Saccharomyces cerevisiae S288C: one gene and its partner. Changing the gene in region 1 together with any one later gene gives a genetic interaction. Each region holds a gene or a part of one and is shown in the gene's direction. Other genes may lie near its edges.

Region 1 (11,361 bases):
CTTTTAGCTGGGATATTGCTGGTTAATGGTAGAACCATTGTCAGAGTAGTACAATTTCTAATGGGCTTACAAAGCTATATAGGTCAGCACGAATGGTGCCTTTACGTTTTCGATACAGTTCTAATGTTTTTACTACCTTTGATTTTCCTAGCAACCTTTCGCGCAAGAAATTTGTTCAAGCTGCAGGATAAATCTGTCAATATTCAATTAAACAAATTATTAGACAAGGAATCTGTGTCTGAAGATTAAGTAGTCAAAAATTTATTAATTAAATAGTTGGATAATATTTGTGCTGGGCATTAGAAGTCAATCTTGTCTTTTCCTTTATATGGTGCAAAGATTATCATGGTTAACGAATCTATTTTTTTTCGTGTCGTTTTTGTTTTTGTTTTTGTTTTTGTTTTGTCTGCTTGACACTCCATAGGAAGAGTAAATGAAGAACCTACCAGACCTAGGGACCAAATAGCATTACTAAACTACAAAGAAACAGCTATCTTTACAGTGTAAAGTATTTTTGAGTTTTTATTAAAGAGTTTGAAGTTGACTATGTCAGGAGAAGAAGAAGTAGATTATACAACGTTACCCCTAGAAGAGCGATTAACGTACAAGTTATGGAAGGCACGTTTAGAAGCTTATAAGGAGTTAAACCAGCTTTTTAGAAACTCCGTTGGCGACATCAGTAGGGATGACAACATACAAATTTACTGGAGGGATCCTACATTATTTGCACAATATATAACTGATTCTAATGTGGTCGCTCAAGAACAAGCCATTGTTGCCTTGAATAGTTTAATAGATGCCTTTGCGTCATCGTCTTTGAAAAATGCACATAATATTACTTTAATATCAACATGGACACCATTGCTTGTGGAAAAGGGCTTAACGTCCTCAAGGGCTACAACGAAGACGCAGTCGATGAGCTGTATACTCTCACTATGTGGTCTTGATACATCTATTACGCAATCGGTGGAATTGGTAATACCCTTTTTCGAGAAAAAACTGCCAAAATTAATTGCTGCGGCAGCCAATTGTGTTTATGAGTTGATGGCTGCATTCGGGCTCACTAATGTGAACGTTCAAACGTTTCTACCAGAATTATTAAAGCACGTACCTCAACTAGCCGGTCATGGTGATAGAAACGTTCGATCACAAACGATGAATTTGATTGTCGAGATCTATAAGGTTACGGGCAACAATAGCGACTTGTTAGAGGAGATACTGTTTAAAAAATTAAAACCAATTCAAGTGAAAGATCTTCATAAATTGTTTGCAAAAGTTGGTGACGAGCCATCGTCATCGAAAATGTTATTCGAGTGGGAGAAAAGAGAATTGGAAAAGAAAAGAAGCCAAGAGGAGGAAGCCAGGAAAAGAAAGTCCATATTATCGAATGATGAGGGGGAATATCAGATAGATAAGGATGGAGATACATTGATGGGGATGGAAACGGATATGCCACCATCAAAACAGCAAAGTGGAGTTCAAATAGACACCTTCAGTATGCTACCGGAGGAGACGATCCTCGATAAACTGCCTAAGGACTTCCAGGAAAGGATAACGTCGTCCAAATGGAAAGATAGAGTGGAAGCGCTGGAAGAATTTTGGGATAGTGTTCTATCGCAGACTAAGAAGTTAAAAAGCACCTCGCAAAATTATTCCAACTTATTGGGGATATATGGCCATATTATCCAGAAAGATGCAAACATTCAAGCTGTTGCACTAGCCGCTCAATCAGTAGAATTAATCTGCGACAAACTAAAAACACCAGGCTTTTCCAAGGATTATGTTTCACTAGTCTTCACTCCCTTGTTAGACAGGACAAAGGAAAAGAAACCTTCTGTGATAGAGGCCATTAGGAAGGCATTATTAACCATCTGCAAGTATTACGATCCATTAGCCTCCAGTGGACGCAATGAAGATATGTTGAAAGATATTTTGGAGCATATGAAGCACAAGACACCTCAAATCAGAATGGAGTGTACGCAATTGTTTAATGCAAGCATGAAAGAAGAAAAAGATGGATACTCGACCCTGCAAAGATACTTGAAGGATGAAGTGGTACCAATTGTGATTCAGATCGTCAACGACACCCAACCTGCTATAAGAACTATTGGATTTGAGAGTTTCGCCATTCTAATTAAAATATTTGGCATGAATACCTTTGTGAAAACATTAGAGCACTTGGATAATTTGAAAAGGAAAAAAATTGAAGAAACGGTCAAAACTCTACCTAATTTCAGTATTGCAAGTGGTAGTACCCATAGCACTATTGAAACGAATAAACAAACTGGGCCAATGGAGAATAAATTTCTCCTGAAAAAAAGTTCTGTACTTCCCTCCAAGAGAGTGGCATCTTCACCGCTGAGAAATGATAACAAAAGTAAAGTGAACCCAATAGGGTCAGTAGCCTCCGCATCAAAACCATCAATGGTAGCTGCTAACAATAAATCGAGGGTCCTGTTGACGTCTAAGTCTTTGGCAACGCCAAAAAACGTAGTAGCTAATAGCACTGACAAGAATGAAAAGTTGATTGAAGAATACAAGTACAGACTGCAAAAACTACAAAATGATGAGATGATATGGACCAAAGAAAGACAAAGCCTATTGGAAAAGATGAATAATACAGAAAATTATAAGATCGAAATGATTAAAGAAAACGAAATGCTAAGAGAGCAACTAAAGGAAGCGCAGTCTAAATTGAACGAAAAGAACATTCAATTAAGATCCAAGGAGATTGATGTCAATAAGCTGTCTGATAGAGTACTGTCACTAGAAAACGAGCTTAGAAACATGGAGATCGAATTGGATAGAAATAAGAAAAGAAATGATACAAACTTGCAATCGATGGGTACGATTTCATCATACTCCATACCTTCTTCCACCGTGTCAAGCAACTATGGGGTAAAATCTTTATCTTCCGCTTTGCCATTTAAGGAGGAGGAAGATGTCAGAAGGAAAGAGGACGTCAACTATGAAAGAAGATCAAGCGAGTCCATCGGCGACCTGCCGCACCGCGTAAACTCTCTTAACATACGGCCGTACAGAAAAAACGGCACTGGAGTGAGCAGTGTCTCCGACGATTTGGATATCGATTTCAACGATAGTTTTGCCTCAGAAGAAAGTTATAAACGTGCCGCTGCAGTGACATCTACCCTAAAGGCCAGAATTGAAAAAATGAAGGCCAAATCAAGGCGGGAAGGGACAACCAGGACGTAAAGGGTAGCCTCCCCATAACATAAACTCAATAAAATATATAGTCTTCAACTTGAAAAAGGAACAAGCTCATGCAAAGAGGTGGTACCCGCACGCCGAAATGCATGCAAGTAACCTATTCAAAGTAATATCTCATACATGTTTCATGAGGGTAACAACATGCGACTGGGTGAGCATATGTTCCGCTGATGTGATGTGCAAGATAAACAAGCAAGGCAGAAACTAACTTCTTCTTCATGTAATAAACACACCCCGCGTTTATTTACCTATCTCTAAACTTCAACACCTTATATCATAACTAATATTTCTTGAGATAAGCACACTGCACCCATACCTTCCTTAAAAACGTAGCTTCCAGTTTTTGGTGGTTCCGGCTTCCTTCCCGATTCCGCCCGCTAAACGCATATTTTTGTTGCCTGGTGGCATTTGCAAAATGCATAACCTATGCATTTAAAAGATTATGTATGCTCTTCTGACTTTTCGTGTGATGAGGCTCGTGGAAAAAATGAATAATTTATGAATTTGAGAACAATTTTGTGTTGTTACGGTATTTTACTATGGAATAATCAATCAATTGAGGATTTTATGCAAATATCGTTTGAATATTTTTCCGACCCTTTGAGTACTTTTCTTCATAATTGCATAATATTGTCCGCTGCCCCTTTTTCTGTTAGACGGTGTCTTGATCTACTTGCTATCGTTCAACACCACCTTATTTTCTAACTATTTTTTTTTTAGCTCATTTGAATCAGCTTATGGTGATGGCACATTTTTGCATAAACCTAGCTGTCCTCGTTGAACATAGGAAAAAAAAATATATAAACAAGGCTCTTTCACTCTCCTTGCAATCAGATTTGGGTTTGTTCCCTTTATTTTCATATTTCTTGTCATATTCCTTTCTCAATTATTATTTTCTACTCATAACCTCACGCAAAATAACACAGTCAAATCAATCAAAATGTCTGAAATTACTTTGGGTAAATATTTGTTCGAAAGATTAAAGCAAGTCAACGTTAACACCGTTTTCGGTTTGCCAGGTGACTTCAACTTGTCCTTGTTGGACAAGATCTACGAAGTTGAAGGTATGAGATGGGCTGGTAACGCCAACGAATTGAACGCTGCTTACGCCGCTGATGGTTACGCTCGTATCAAGGGTATGTCTTGTATCATCACCACCTTCGGTGTCGGTGAATTGTCTGCTTTGAACGGTATTGCCGGTTCTTACGCTGAACACGTCGGTGTTTTGCACGTTGTTGGTGTCCCATCCATCTCTGCTCAAGCTAAGCAATTGTTGTTGCACCACACCTTGGGTAACGGTGACTTCACTGTTTTCCACAGAATGTCTGCCAACATTTCTGAAACCACTGCTATGATCACTGACATTGCTACCGCCCCAGCTGAAATTGACAGATGTATCAGAACCACTTACGTCACCCAAAGACCAGTCTACTTAGGTTTGCCAGCTAACTTGGTCGACTTGAACGTCCCAGCTAAGTTGTTGCAAACTCCAATTGACATGTCTTTGAAGCCAAACGATGCTGAATCCGAAAAGGAAGTCATTGACACCATCTTGGCTTTGGTCAAGGATGCTAAGAACCCAGTTATCTTGGCTGATGCTTGTTGTTCCAGACACGACGTCAAGGCTGAAACTAAGAAGTTGATTGACTTGACTCAATTCCCAGCTTTCGTCACCCCAATGGGTAAGGGTTCCATTGACGAACAACACCCAAGATACGGTGGTGTTTACGTCGGTACCTTGTCCAAGCCAGAAGTTAAGGAAGCCGTTGAATCTGCTGACTTGATTTTGTCTGTCGGTGCTTTGTTGTCTGATTTCAACACCGGTTCTTTCTCTTACTCTTACAAGACCAAGAACATTGTCGAATTCCACTCCGACCACATGAAGATCAGAAACGCCACTTTCCCAGGTGTCCAAATGAAATTCGTTTTGCAAAAGTTGTTGACCACTATTGCTGACGCCGCTAAGGGTTACAAGCCAGTTGCTGTCCCAGCTAGAACTCCAGCTAACGCTGCTGTCCCAGCTTCTACCCCATTGAAGCAAGAATGGATGTGGAACCAATTGGGTAACTTCTTGCAAGAAGGTGATGTTGTCATTGCTGAAACCGGTACCTCCGCTTTCGGTATCAACCAAACCACTTTCCCAAACAACACCTACGGTATCTCTCAAGTCTTATGGGGTTCCATTGGTTTCACCACTGGTGCTACCTTGGGTGCTGCTTTCGCTGCTGAAGAAATTGATCCAAAGAAGAGAGTTATCTTATTCATTGGTGACGGTTCTTTGCAATTGACTGTTCAAGAAATCTCCACCATGATCAGATGGGGCTTGAAGCCATACTTGTTCGTCTTGAACAACGATGGTTACACCATTGAAAAGTTGATTCACGGTCCAAAGGCTCAATACAACGAAATTCAAGGTTGGGACCACCTATCCTTGTTGCCAACTTTCGGTGCTAAGGACTATGAAACCCACAGAGTCGCTACCACCGGTGAATGGGACAAGTTGACCCAAGACAAGTCTTTCAACGACAACTCTAAGATCAGAATGATTGAAATCATGTTGCCAGTCTTCGATGCTCCACAAAACTTGGTTGAACAAGCTAAGTTGACTGCTGCTACCAACGCTAAGCAATAAGCGATTTAATCTCTAATTATTAGTTAAAGTTTTATAAGCATTTTTATGTAACGAAAAATAAATTGGTTCATATTATTACTGCACTGTCACTTACCATGGAAAGACCAGACAAGAAGTTGCCGACAGTCTGTTGAATTGGCCTGGTTAGGCTTAAGTCTGGGTCCGCTTCTTTACAAATTTGGAGAATTTCTCTTAAACGATATGTATATTCTTTTCGTTGGAAAAGATGTCTTCCAAAAAAAAAACCGATGAATTAGTGGAACCAAGGAAAAAAAAAGAGGTATCCTTGATTAAGGAACACTGTTTAAACAGTGTGGTTTCCAAAACCCTGAAACTGCATTAGTGTAATAGAAGACTAGACACCTCGATACAAATAATGGTTACTCAATTCAAAACTGCCAGCGAATTCGACTCTGCAATTGCTCAAGACAAGCTAGTTGTCGTAGATTTCTACGCCACTTGGTGCGGTCCATGTAAAATGATTGCTCCAATGATTGAAAAATTCTCTGAACAATACCCACAAGCTGATTTCTATAAATTGGATGTCGATGAATTGGGTGATGTTGCACAAAAGAATGAAGTTTCCGCTATGCCAACTTTGCTTCTATTCAAGAACGGTAAGGAAGTTGCAAAGGTTGTTGGTGCCAACCCAGCGGCTATTAAGCAAGCCATTGCTGCTAATGCTTAAACTCACCCAATGACCGATATATTGTGTTTCTATACTGTGTTTGTTATATATAGTTTACCTTTTTTAGACAAAAAAACAGAATTATATATTATCCTTATGTTTTGTTATTTACTCGGAAGCACACAATTGCCCACCACACAAAGGAGGTGGAGGAAACAATTAATTTTTCACACAAGAGGTATATATTTGGAGAAAAATGAAGAATGAGATACTTTTCTTCCGATTACTTAAGTATTACGGCTCTGAAATTTTCTCGAGCATTAGATGATTAAATCAAAATGACATAGTATTTCGCAACCTTTCAGTTGGGCTTTGTTTAAGAAGTGGAATACTTTTGCTTGAGTTGTTTAGTTTTATTTTATCCACTGTTGTCTTAACAAATATTTTCAAGACCGGTAAGCCGAAGATGAAAAATCATTATTAACTCATTTTTTGAACAAAAATATAAACAAAAGAAAGGCAACGCACAATTTTAGAGATACATAAAACGCAGTGGATGTTAAAAATAACAGCGGTACAGAAACGCCTGTCTCGCTCCAATAATAATTATACAAATTTGAAACCGAACGCAATGTGCCAAGAAATGTAAACACACTATAGAAAAAAATAGAACGGTGCACATTGTGCTAGCATATCTGCTTGGTTCTGAACAAGAAGCACCTGGCCACTTTCTCCTAGCCCAATTCTTGCCAAGTTTTCAACCTCAATCTTTTGTGTTTGAACAAGCATGTATGAGGGGTCAAAATTTAGTGGAGGCCGCTTACAATCCTTCTATTTCCTCTGGACCTCATTAGCCGTCTGGCCAGACCTAAGCGTCATAATCTGGAGAATTTCATTGCATGCGAGAATATGATAAGTAAGAACTTGTTTATTTATACAAGTTCCACCCACTCATACACGGCTACAATTATGACGTATAATAACGTTTCGTCTAGCCCACCTTTTTTACTTTTGACGTTTTATTTCTTTCGAGGATTTGGCCAAGAATGCCCCGAACAGCGGAAAAAATGGCGTCGCAGTTTCAGATGTATAGACTCATCTTGTAGAAAAAAGAATGCAAGAATGAAGTCTTTTCGTGGTGTTTTGAAAACACTATAAACAAACCGTCAACAAACATTTTGTATAAATATTTAGCTATATATTGAATATCTTGACCAGTAAAGCACCTTGAGAAATTGTAAGCTTGAAGAACGTACTTTGATATCCCTCCGTTTCATCATCCTATAGCTCGTCAACAAATCAAAAAAAATATGAAGATCAGTCAATTTGGCTCTTTAGCTTTCGCCCCAATTGTGCTACTACAACTGTTCATTGTTCAAGCGCAACTTCTCACAGATTCAAATGCTCAGGATTTGAATACTGCCCTTGGACAGAAAGTGCAATACACCTTTCTTGACACTGGAAATTCTAACGATCAACTACTTCATCTTCCAAGCACCACCTCTTCCAGCATTATTACTGGTTCATTAGCTGCTGCTAATTTCACCGGTTCTTCATCATCGTCGTCTATACCAAAAGTCACTTCCAGCGTCATAACATCTATAAATTACCAATCCTCAAATTCTACGGTAGTCACCCAGTTCACGCCATTGCCTTCTTCGTCGAGAAATGAAACAAAAAGCTCTCAAACAACTAATACTATAAGTTCAAGTACAAGCACAGGAGGTGTAGGTTCAGTCAAGCCATGTCTTTACTTCGTTTTAATGTTAGAAACAATCGCTTATTTGTTTTCTTAAACAAATATATTAGGTTCAAGGTCTTCGCAGGTGTAAGAAAACCCGTGGTCTCCATATTCTTAAGTATGATAAATAAAAAAAAACTTAATAAATTATTAATTGCTTCAAACCTTTTTCTTTTTTTAGTTTTTAATATTTCAAACGTTATCTTCATTGAACGCCCAAATAGGGAAAAATCCTGGCAAATTTTTTATTGCTGTCATCCAAGGCTATGCTAGAAAATTCAAGAGCTTGGATGATTTAAAAAGACACTCTCAATCGAGAAAGTTTATTCTTTGTTATTCTGCTTTACCTGATCATATTCCGGCGTATTGTTTCTAATCAAGTGATTTCGATATCCAGTTACGAACCATTTACAACATTCCTGAAAATATTGCGTATCAATGATATTTGCTCCTTCTTTCTCCCTCATTAAAAATATTCTCCTGGTAAGCTTTCTAATCAGCCACAGTTTTGCTGCCAAAACTTTAACGTCTAGTTCCAATGACGATACACTTGCCAGGTCCGCAGCTGCAGATGCAGACATGGCATTCTTCATGGAGTTTTTAAACGATTTCGACACCGCTTTTCCACAGTATACCTCATACATGATGCAAAACCATTTAACCCTACCTCAACCTGTTGCTGACTACTACTATCACATGGTTGATTTGGCCTCAACAGCAGATTTACAATCTGATATTGCTCAGAGTTTTCCGTTCACTCAATTCCAAACATTCATTACGGCCTTTCCATGGTATACCTCTTTGCTAAACAAAGCCTCCGCCACCACCATATACCTTCCCCAACACTTCATAACAGGTGAGACAGAAGCTACCATGACTAACTCATCTTATGCCAGCCAAAAAAACTCCGTTTCCAATTCTGTTCCTTTCTCGACAGCGAACGCAGGCCAGTCCATGATTTCCATGGCTAATGAAGAAAACAGTACAACAGCACTTATATCCGCATCAAACTCTTCTTCAACATCCAGAACTAGTCAATCACAGAATGGTGCCCATGCCAAAAGCTTATATTTCCCCATGGCGTTGTTCGGAATCTTTGCAGTTGCCCTTTAAGTGCCTCAACCAAATTTGACAATTTAATTCCATGGGAGGTCCGCCATCCCTTTTCGCTTTTTTTATAATATGTGTATTATTTATACAAATATGTATATAAGTATGTACTTTTTCAATGGACAATTCGATTTTAAGAGCGTTTTTAGTGACAACGATGAACATCAACTTTGTACAGTATCAAACGATTTATTTTTAACATATTATTATAACTTCTGAATGGCGTTGCCATCTTGGCCAAAATCTTGTCTTTTCTGTCGTTTTATGGCAGGCTTTTGTTCTTTGATGTTAATTCGGCAATACCGACGCCTTTGATGTTCATCAAACAGTCTGAAAAAAATACACCTAAATGCCTCTACAAAAAAAAAGGTAAGGTAAGAGTGTTATTGACCGGAAGCTGTAAGAAACTGAACACGTGGAAAATGCACTTATGGCCAGTCAGTCCGCCCCAATTGCTTAGAATTCCACCCCGCAACGCCGAATTAGGTGAGGGTACTAAAATAGATGATTGCAATATTCTTCAATCAATGACACTACCCCAGGCCAATGTTCTTATCATGCTAACCCCAACAAGAGTGCTCATTTACAACTTCAAACCAATGGCACTAGTAGCTAGCCATGAACGAACAATGGCTTCTCTTAAGGAATTTGGCGATAACAGATCAATGAAACGATCAGCTCCATATAATGATATCATCGAAGGGCTTATTTCAAAAAAGGACTCGCAATACTTATTGTGGCACCAGGGAAAGCTGATATTTTACGTAATGACTGATAAAAACTTCCTTTTAACATACCAAATTTTAAAAAACTGCACAAATGAAATAATTTTCAAAGAATACGGCATACCCGTCATAGAGCCTCTTTTAATGAGTGAAGAAGAAGCGAACAGTGCTGAATATGACTATAACAACGATGATGATACTCTCACGGTATTTGATAAAAATAGTTCTTCAAGAATTATACAGAATGGATTTGGCATAACTAAGGAAAAAGGGTTTTTACACTTTCTTTCTAATCAAGAAAACATTGATGAACTCCCCGTGAAAAAACTAGAACTTCGTTTAAAAGTAGTTCTTAAATTTGACTATGAAATCATAGACATGATTGGCATCAAGACATTTTCCAAAGTCGGGGATGGGCGTTATGAAGAAGTTTTGATAGTTTTATTCCCTCATGGATTACAAATACTTACAATATCGGATTTTAAAGTTAGCAAGAGCTCGTTGGTTGAAGTGAAGAAGGGATCCAAGACAATTGTGTGTAATAAACAATTAATGGTTTTATCTCATGATTCCGTCGAAAAGCAGACTATTGTAAGCATTATAGACATTGAAAAGCAAGCTGTTGAAGCAATACCGTTAACGGACACACCAGATGAACTTTTGACTTGCCTAGAAGTTAATGGATACCTGGTGGTCGTTTACAAAGAAAAAATAATCTGCTTTGATACAAGAATTAAAAAAGTAAGCCATTCTTGGAAACCACCATTTGTGATAAAACTTTGCGATAAAATTAATGATAAAATATTACTTTTGGTTTCTGAGGATAGTGTTAACATTCATTTTTACACAGAATTTGGGAATCTGCTATTCGCTACATATTTTGACGAAGATGATTATAATGGTGATAACAATAATGACAACAGCAAGGATAAAAATGAGAAAAAGGCGGCTGAATATAAAATTTCTGATTTTGTATGCTTGGATAAATCACTAATAACAGTGTCTCATTCCGGAAAATATCAAGTTTGGAAATTATGGGAAGAAATAAAACAAACACAATTTGATTTCAGAAACCCAAAATGTTACGTATTAACCAATACGAACAATGATGTAATCATATATTCACCTGTGACAAGTTCTTCAATCAATAATGATAATTTACAAGTCATAAAACTTCCTACAAAGACTTTCAATAATCATATTGCTTTTGTAAAAATTAATTCTTCCTTGAGGTTATTTGCTACTTATGTGTCGAACAAAAACATACTGCTTATCCACAATCTAGAGACCAATATGT
Region 2 (7,961 bases), on another chromosome or scaffold:
TCTGCTACAAAATTCCTCAGAATCTTTTCATAAAAATGTCTTTTCTTTGTTGAAGGAGTGCTTAACGACGCTGTTTTTATTACTGGTGGCTAGTCCTTTGGACGATAACTCTCTGCATATTTTCTATAAAAGCAATCAGGATCATATTGATCTGTCATATTGTGACGAAGATGATCAAGTATTTTCACGAAAAAACGTATTTCACGAGGCTGCAAGTTGTCCAGAAAAATCACGCTTATTTATTCTAGATGAGGCTTTAACAACATCAAAGTTATCTAAAGAAACAGTACAAAAACTACTGAATGCCCAAGATATACATTCGCGGGTGCCGCTACATTATGCTGCAGAGCTAGGAAAACTGGAATTTGTTCACTCGTTGCTAATCACCAATCTTTTAGAGGACGTTGATCCCATTGATAGTGATTCTAAGACACCCTTGGTTTTGGCTATCACTAACAACCACATAGATGTTGTTAGGGATCTGCTGACTATTGGTGGTGCGAACGCATCACCCATTGAAAAGCCAATTCTGGATTATAGTAAGAATGTAATCAGCTCTACTAAAGTCCAGTTCGATCCTTTAAATGTTGCTTGTAAATTTAATAATCATGACGCCGCCAAGTTACTTTTAGAAATTCGGAGTAAGCAAAATGCTGATAATGCCAAGAACAAAAGTTCACAACACTTGTGTCAACCGCTTTTCAAAAAGAACTCAACAGGTTTATGCACTCTTCATATAGTGGCAAAAATTGGCGGCGATCCACAATTAATTCAACTATTGATACGTTATGGGGCGGATCCCAACGAAATTGATGGGTTTAATAAATGGACGCCCATTTTTTACGCTGTTCGTTCAGGTCATTCTGAAGTTATTACTGAACTATTGAAACATAATGCACGTCTGGATATTGAAGATGACAACGGCCATTCGCCACTTTTTTACGCCTTATGGGAGAGCCACGTTGATGTTTTGAATGCACTTTTACAAAGACCATTAAATTTGCCATCTGCACCCCTGAATGAAATAAATTCGCAGTCTAGTACGCAACGCCTTAATACAATAGATTTAACCCCAAATGATGACAAATTTGATTTAGACATTCAAGATAGCATTCCGGATTTTGCTTTACCACCGCCAATCATTCCACTAAGGAAATATGGTCATAATTTTTTGGAGAAAAAAATTTTCATCAAATTAAAGTTGAGGCCAGGTCTCGAGTCTATCAAGTTGACTCAGGATAACGGCATTATTATGTCATCATCACCAGGCAGAATTACTTTATCCTCAAACTTACCTGAAATAATACCGCGAAATGTTATTTTACCTGTTAGATCTGGCGAAATTAATAACTTTTGTAAGGATATCAGTGAAACAAATGATGAAGAAGATGATGATGAAATTAGTGAAGATCATGATGATGGAGAGATAATTTTCCAAGTAGATTCAATCGACGATTTTTCAATGGATTTCGAGATATTTCCTTCATTTGGCACAAGGATAATTGCCAAAACAACGGCAATGCCATTCCTTTTCAAGAAGGTGGCAATAAATAGTATTGCAACCATGAATTTACCCTTATTCGACACAAGACTAAATAATATTGGATCTCTCACTTTGGATTACCAAATTATTTTTCCTTATCCGGGAAATCCACTGAAAATCATAAATTATGAGCCGTATTGGAAATCTACAGGAAGTGATTTAATGACCTCTAGTAAAGACGGTAATTTTGTTACTTCTTCATCGTTGAATGGCAGTTTTATTAGTGTATTAGTTTGCGCTCTGAATGATGAAACCATAGTGGCTGCGCCAAAACCATACGTTGAATTCAAAGGCACGAAGATTCTGTTAAATGATTTAACGAAAGAACAATTGGAAAAGGTAGTGGATTATGACTTCGGTAAAATTGATGGAAGCTTCGATGAAGTAACATTGAAACAATACTTATCTTCGAGAGTGGTGCCTCTCAGAAGCCTACTAGAAGTTATTCCCGGGTCAGCCCAGCTGGTAATTCGTGTATATTTTCCTACAGATAAGGAAATTGACACAATTCCCATCAAAATATCGCCATTTATAAATATCAATCAATTCATTGATAAGCTTTTACTAATCATTTTCGAGCATGAACGTTTTTTGCGTCACAGCGGAAGTGGGAGTATGCGCCAAATAGTTTTCAGTTCATGCAATTGGGAAGCTTGCTCGATCCTTAACTGGAAACAACCCAATTTTCCGGTTTTGTTGCAAATGAAAAATCTACTCAGAGATTCAACCACAGGCAAATTTGTAGGTGATACTCCTAATTGTTTAAAGGAACTGGCCGTAAATCCTCAAAAAATGTCGTATTTAAACACGGAACTAATAAACATACATACAATGGTTCAATTTGCTATGAACAATAATTTGTTAGGTGTAACGCTTCCATATGAAGTACTGAAGATATGCCCGTCGTTGGCTAGGATCATCAAACAAAACGGACTACTGTTGATTGCATCGGTCGGGGAAAATGACCAAATACCAGCTGATGGAGGTTACAGCGGGATCTACTACGCTTGTGAGTTGCTTTTTGAGAATAATATTGATATGTAAAGTTCTGTAATATGTAGTTTTGAAATCTTATACATTATTTAGGAAAAACTTTTTAACCTGTTCATTAAGGGCAACATCTTCTGCCTTAGCGCCTTTATTATCTACAAGATCATATTCTGCACCATACTTTTCCACCAACAATACAGCTGCGTCACCGTGCCCTTCAGCCAAAGCATGAAATAGTGGGGTCCAACCCTGCTTATCCTGCCAATTTACAGCGCTTTTGCCCAAACCGCATAATAGTTCAATTAATTTCAAAGAACCCACCGACGCAGCTCTATGCAATGGAATTTGATTAAATTTATCTTTAATTCTTACGGACGCACCATTTTCAATTAAAAATTGGGATACTTCAAACCATTTCTTACCAACTGCCAAGTGCAAGCATGTAACTCCTTGATTGGTTATCTTATTTAGATCAGGCTTTAGAGGTCTGTCGTAAAGAGACTTTACCACCTCCAAATTCCCCACTGAACAAGCAATATGGAAAGGTGTCCATCCAGAATCATCTGGATAATCATCTAAGTTAACATTTTCCATTTTAGAAAGCAAAAAACTGGTAATTTCATGTGCTTGGAAAGAAACTGACCAGTGTAAAGGGATTCTGCCATCCTGGTCCTTCTGTAGCAACAAGGAAGGTTTGGAGTGTAGCAGCTCTTGTACCTTGAAAAACTCATTTTCCATGCAGGCTTGATGCAAAGGATAATTAGACATGGTTATACAGTTTTAAGGGCATGCATTTATGTAGCATTTATTATCACAGCTTCAGCTGATCGTTCTTTAAAGAACCCTTTTATGAAGGGCCCTTCGATCATACTTGACAGCCGGGTAAGAGAGATATTCTTTGTATAGAAATGAAATCAGATTACATAAAGCAGTGTGCAATTTGAGTGGCCCCATTTAAATACTTTCTACTTCCTCTATTGCTATGAGTAATACTGCGATGTGGCCGTATCCGTTTAGTCGATATTTTAATAGCTTGCATGTAATTGTGTTGCATAATCACTATCAACGACATAGAGTGGCAAACTTTTCTTGTATCGCTCATTTTGGCATCTAAGGGAAATAATAGCAAAAAAGGGCAATTCATAAACCATAAAGGACATCAGAAGAGTTTTACAGGGGAGGTTGTATTTTAGTAGCTCACGAAATAAAAGCAAGCGGCTGCTAGAAAAGAATATAATTTAGTGCTGATGAATAGATCACCTGGTGAGTTCCAAAGGTACGCAAAGGCGTTCCAAAAACAATTGTCCAAGGTACAGCAAACCGGAGGCAGAGGTCAAGTGCCTTCACCAAGGGGGGCATTTGCAGGCTTGGGAGGTTTGCTTTTACTCGGAGGTGGTGCACTGTTCATTAATAATGCACTGTTCAATGTAGATGGTGGTCATAGAGCCATTGTTTATTCCAGAATACATGGTGTTTCCTCTAGGATATTTAATGAAGGTACTCACTTCATTTTCCCTTGGCTTGACACACCAATTATTTATGATGTGAGAGCAAAACCTCGTAATGTTGCTTCTTTAACAGGTACCAAAGACTTACAAATGGTGAATATCACCTGTAGAGTACTTTCAAGACCGGATGTGGTGCAATTGCCCACCATATACAGAACCTTAGGTCAGGATTACGATGAAAGAGTGTTGCCTTCCATTGTTAATGAAGTTTTAAAGGCTGTAGTGGCCCAATTTAATGCGTCACAATTAATCACTCAAAGAGAAAAAGTTTCCAGGTTGATTCGCGAGAATTTGGTTCGTCGTGCAAGCAAATTCAATATCCTACTGGATGATGTTTCTATTACGTACATGACTTTTTCGCCAGAGTTTACGAACGCTGTAGAAGCAAAGCAAATTGCCCAACAAGATGCTCAAAGGGCTGCATTTGTAGTTGATAAAGCCAGACAAGAAAAACAAGGTATGGTAGTGAGGGCACAAGGTGAAGCCAAATCCGCCGAACTGATTGGTGAAGCCATCAAGAAATCAAGAGACTACGTGGAATTGAAAAGATTAGATACAGCCAGGGACATTGCAAAGATCTTGGCTAGCTCTCCAAATAGAGTCATCTTGGATAATGAAGCATTGTTGCTAAATACCGTAGTGGATGCAAGAATCGATGGAAGGGGCAAATAAATAGCGAAGGCTAGATATTATCTTTAAGAATTGAGTAACAATGTTAAGATGCCATATACTTGTGAATACAAAATAAAGGGAAAGAAAGCGATGCGTAAAACATAAATATTTGTATGTCTTCTAGAATAAGAATAAGGAGTATTACCCCGTATCATCTTGTATTGTTGGAGAACGTATATAGTATAATATGTAACACATACAGCAAAAAAATAGGCCAATTTATGATCATCATCCGTTAAATTAAATGTCTACATTCGGCTTGCGTGGTATATTCTGTTTGCCCCGCACAAACTCCAGTGTTTTGGGTTGCGATTTGGCTGAGAAAAGTTTTGACTTGTGATCATTCAGTTTTCTAGAGCATGGTGAAAGCAAATTGTCTGACGGCGACGCAAATTTTTGCCTAAGTTGCGTGTTCAAGTTTTTCCTTTGATCTTCCACTGCTTTTCTTTTCCGATACGTATTCTTGAATACTTGTCGATGAAGGCAATGCTTTGCAAATGTCTTCGTGTTATGCGCAACTTTAAGACTCATTTTCAAGTGTTGATTAAAAGAATCTAGATTTTCATCCCTCCTGGTGCAAGACACAGACGTATTTTGGATTTTTCTAATCAATTTTGTCACTATATCTTGGGATGCCGATCCGCCGTATGACATCGCAAATCTGTTACTTTTTTTTAGCGCAATGATGTAGTAGCCTCTGATTAACTTTTTTTAAAAAAAAATCACAGATAAGTAGAGGAAGAAGAATTTGCTGCTTATTGGGAACTTTCAATAGAAACCTTTTGTAGAGGATTTCGTTATTTGTTCAAGAGAATAAAAAGGTATACATTTGAAATCCTAGCATTAACTTCAGATACCTTCCACCTTACTAATCGCAGGCCTTTATGACAACGGAGGAGAGTTAGAACGAAGCAGAGAGGCTCCAATCTACATGGGAACATCGCAAAAGATGCGTACTCCGCACTGATCCATTTACCTGCAGGGCTTAACATGCATTGCACCACCGTTTGTACATCATAAGTTAATTACATTCCTTTTTAGGATAGTCTACTATTTATTTTTTCCCGTATCTGGAAAACCCCCTTAGATCCTTGTCACATAATCATAAAAATAAAGGCACCAAGCCCTAAAGCACGTGACATATGTCATTACCCTAGATTACATATAGGGCTTCCAAAGCCCTATTGGAGGTCGAAAAAAAGAAAAAAGAAAATAAAAAAGCGAAAAAAAGAAATGCATAATTCGCAGATTGTTTTTTTTTTCTTTTTCTAATGTCAGTTTTCCTACTTCGAGATCAAAAGAATGTTTTTGCACCGCAACTGAAAAGGTTGTGTTTTCTTTCCAGAGTAAATTACATTTTAATCAATTCTTTGCGCTGCTACGCAATCTTCAAACGCAAGTCCATTCTTAGAAATTTTAGCTTCTCTCAATATTGAAATATTTGCAAATACGCCATTCAAGAATCAAGCCTGTTGAAAATAAAGGTACAAAATTAAATCCGCTAATTATTTTTTTTCGTGTTCGACTAAAGTTATCGAAAAATTGAAAATATACAAGGACTAGCTATACTATCAATACGCAAAGAAAATACAAAATAAACGCACATTCGTTCTATAGGCGACAACTTGGCAGAATTTTTTAGTATAAAATGGATCTATTCAAAAGAAAAGTTAAAGAATGGGTATACTCCCTCAGCACTGACGACCATTATGCAGAGTATAACCCCGATGAAACGCCTACTTTTAACATGGGTAAACGTTTAAACAGCAACAATGGTCAGGTAAATCCCTCTCAAATGCATTTGAATAGTGTAGATGAGGAAATGAGCATGGGATTTCAAAATGGCGTGCCATCTAATGAAGACATAAATATTGATGAATTTACGTCCACGGAGTCAAACGATGGTGTCTCTGAAACCCTCTTAGCTTGGAGACACATCGATTTTTGGACCAGTGAACATAATCCAGATTTAAATGCAACTTTGAGTGATCCTTGCACCCAAAACGATATCACTCACGCAGAGGAAGACTTGGAAGTTAGCTTTCCCAACCCAGTAAAAGCGTCTTTCAAAATTCATGATGGCCAAGAAGATTTAGAATCGATGACCGGTACTTCTGGCTTGTTTTATGGCTTCCAACTAATGACACTAGATCAGGTTGTAGCTATGACTCAGGCCTGGAGAAACGTCGCAAAGAACCTAAACAAAAGATCTCAACAAGGTTTATCCCATGTTACATCTACTGGCTCTTCTTCATCTATGGAAAGACTAAATGGTAACAAGTTCAAACTGCCAAATATCCCAGATCAAAAATCTATTCCTCCAAATGCAGTGCAACCGGTATATGCACATCCTGCTTGGATTCCTTTAATAACGGACAATGCCGGTAACCATATCGGTGTTGACTTGGCGCCTGGTCCAAATGGTAAATATGCTCAAATTATAACATTTGGGAGGGACTTCGATACGAAATTTGTCATTGCTGAAAATTGGGGTGAATTTCTGTTATCGTTTGCCAACGATTTGGAAGCTGGTAATTGGTATTTAGTAGATGACAATGACGACTACTTTAGCGGTGATGGTGAATTGGTCTTCAGGGATAAGAAATCTAATGGTCCTATACAAGATTATTTCGAAGTTTTAAAAAGAAGAACGTGGATCAAGTATCAAGAAAACTTGAGATCACAACAGCAAAAATCTCAACCTGACACATCCTTGCAGGAGCAGAAATACGTGCCTGCCTCGCAAAAGAAAGTGGCAGCTGAACAGCCTTCTACCCTCAACGCAGAATCCATAAAGGGCGAAGATAGTGGTAGTGCAGATGTACAATCTGTTCAAGATCACGAATCTGTCAAAATTGTGAAAACAGAACCTAGCGAAGCGGAGACTACAACTGTAAATACAGAAAGCCTTGGACAAGCAGAGCATGAAATCAAAGCTGATAATGTAGACATTAAACAAGAAAGCGAGAGGAAAGAAGACGAAAAGCAACCAAAGGTTGAAGAAAAAGAACACGTTGAAAACGAACATGTCACAGAATCAGCAAAAAAAGACGATGATGTAAATAAGCAAACAGAAGAAATGAACAAAAAGGAAGAAAATGAAATAAGAAGTGATGATGCTAAAGTGGAAGAAGCGAGAGAAGAATTTGAAAATATAGCTTTATGAAATATCACAATTAACATTCTACAACCAAAAAGAAATTTGGACAATATTTATTTCTATTAAACTGTTCTAGGTAGGTTTCAAC

What was found. Genes that interact genetically often act in the same process or in processes that back each other up.
Region 2: mutations in RIC1 (region 1) and SMI1 are lethal when combined (synthetic lethality), as found in Saccharomyces cerevisiae (5 studies listed by BioGRID, with this or other methods).

The regions. Positions count from the first base shown.
Region 1 is NC_001144.5:226,889-238,249, reverse strand, and holds the start of RIC1 (Ric1p), read left to right. Parts: upstream 1-9,653; coding exon 9,654-11,361. Other genes in the region: YLR046C (uncharacterized protein), read left to right, coding at 1-249; STU2 (Stu2p), read left to right, coding at 547-3,213; PDC1 (indolepyruvate decarboxylase 1), read left to right, coding at 4,169-5,860; thioredoxin TRX1, read left to right, coding at 6,237-6,548; NFG1 (Nfg1p), read left to right, coding at 7,799-8,284; AFB1 (Afb1p), read left to right, coding at 8,668-9,342.
Region 2 is NC_001139.9:949,300-957,260, reverse strand, and holds SMI1 (Smi1p), read left to right. Parts: upstream 1-6,361; coding exon 6,362-7,879; downstream 7,880-7,961. Other genes in the region: PHO81 (Pho81p), read left to right, coding at 1-2,587; NAS6 (Nas6p), read right to left, coding at 2,615-3,301; prohibitin subunit PHB2, read left to right, coding at 3,781-4,713; BNS1 (Bns1p), read right to left, coding at 4,954-5,367. UniProt on the Saccharomyces cerevisiae protein: Protein involved in the regulation of cell wall assembly and 1,3-beta-glucan synthesis, possibly through the transcriptional regulation of cell wall glucan and chitin synthesis.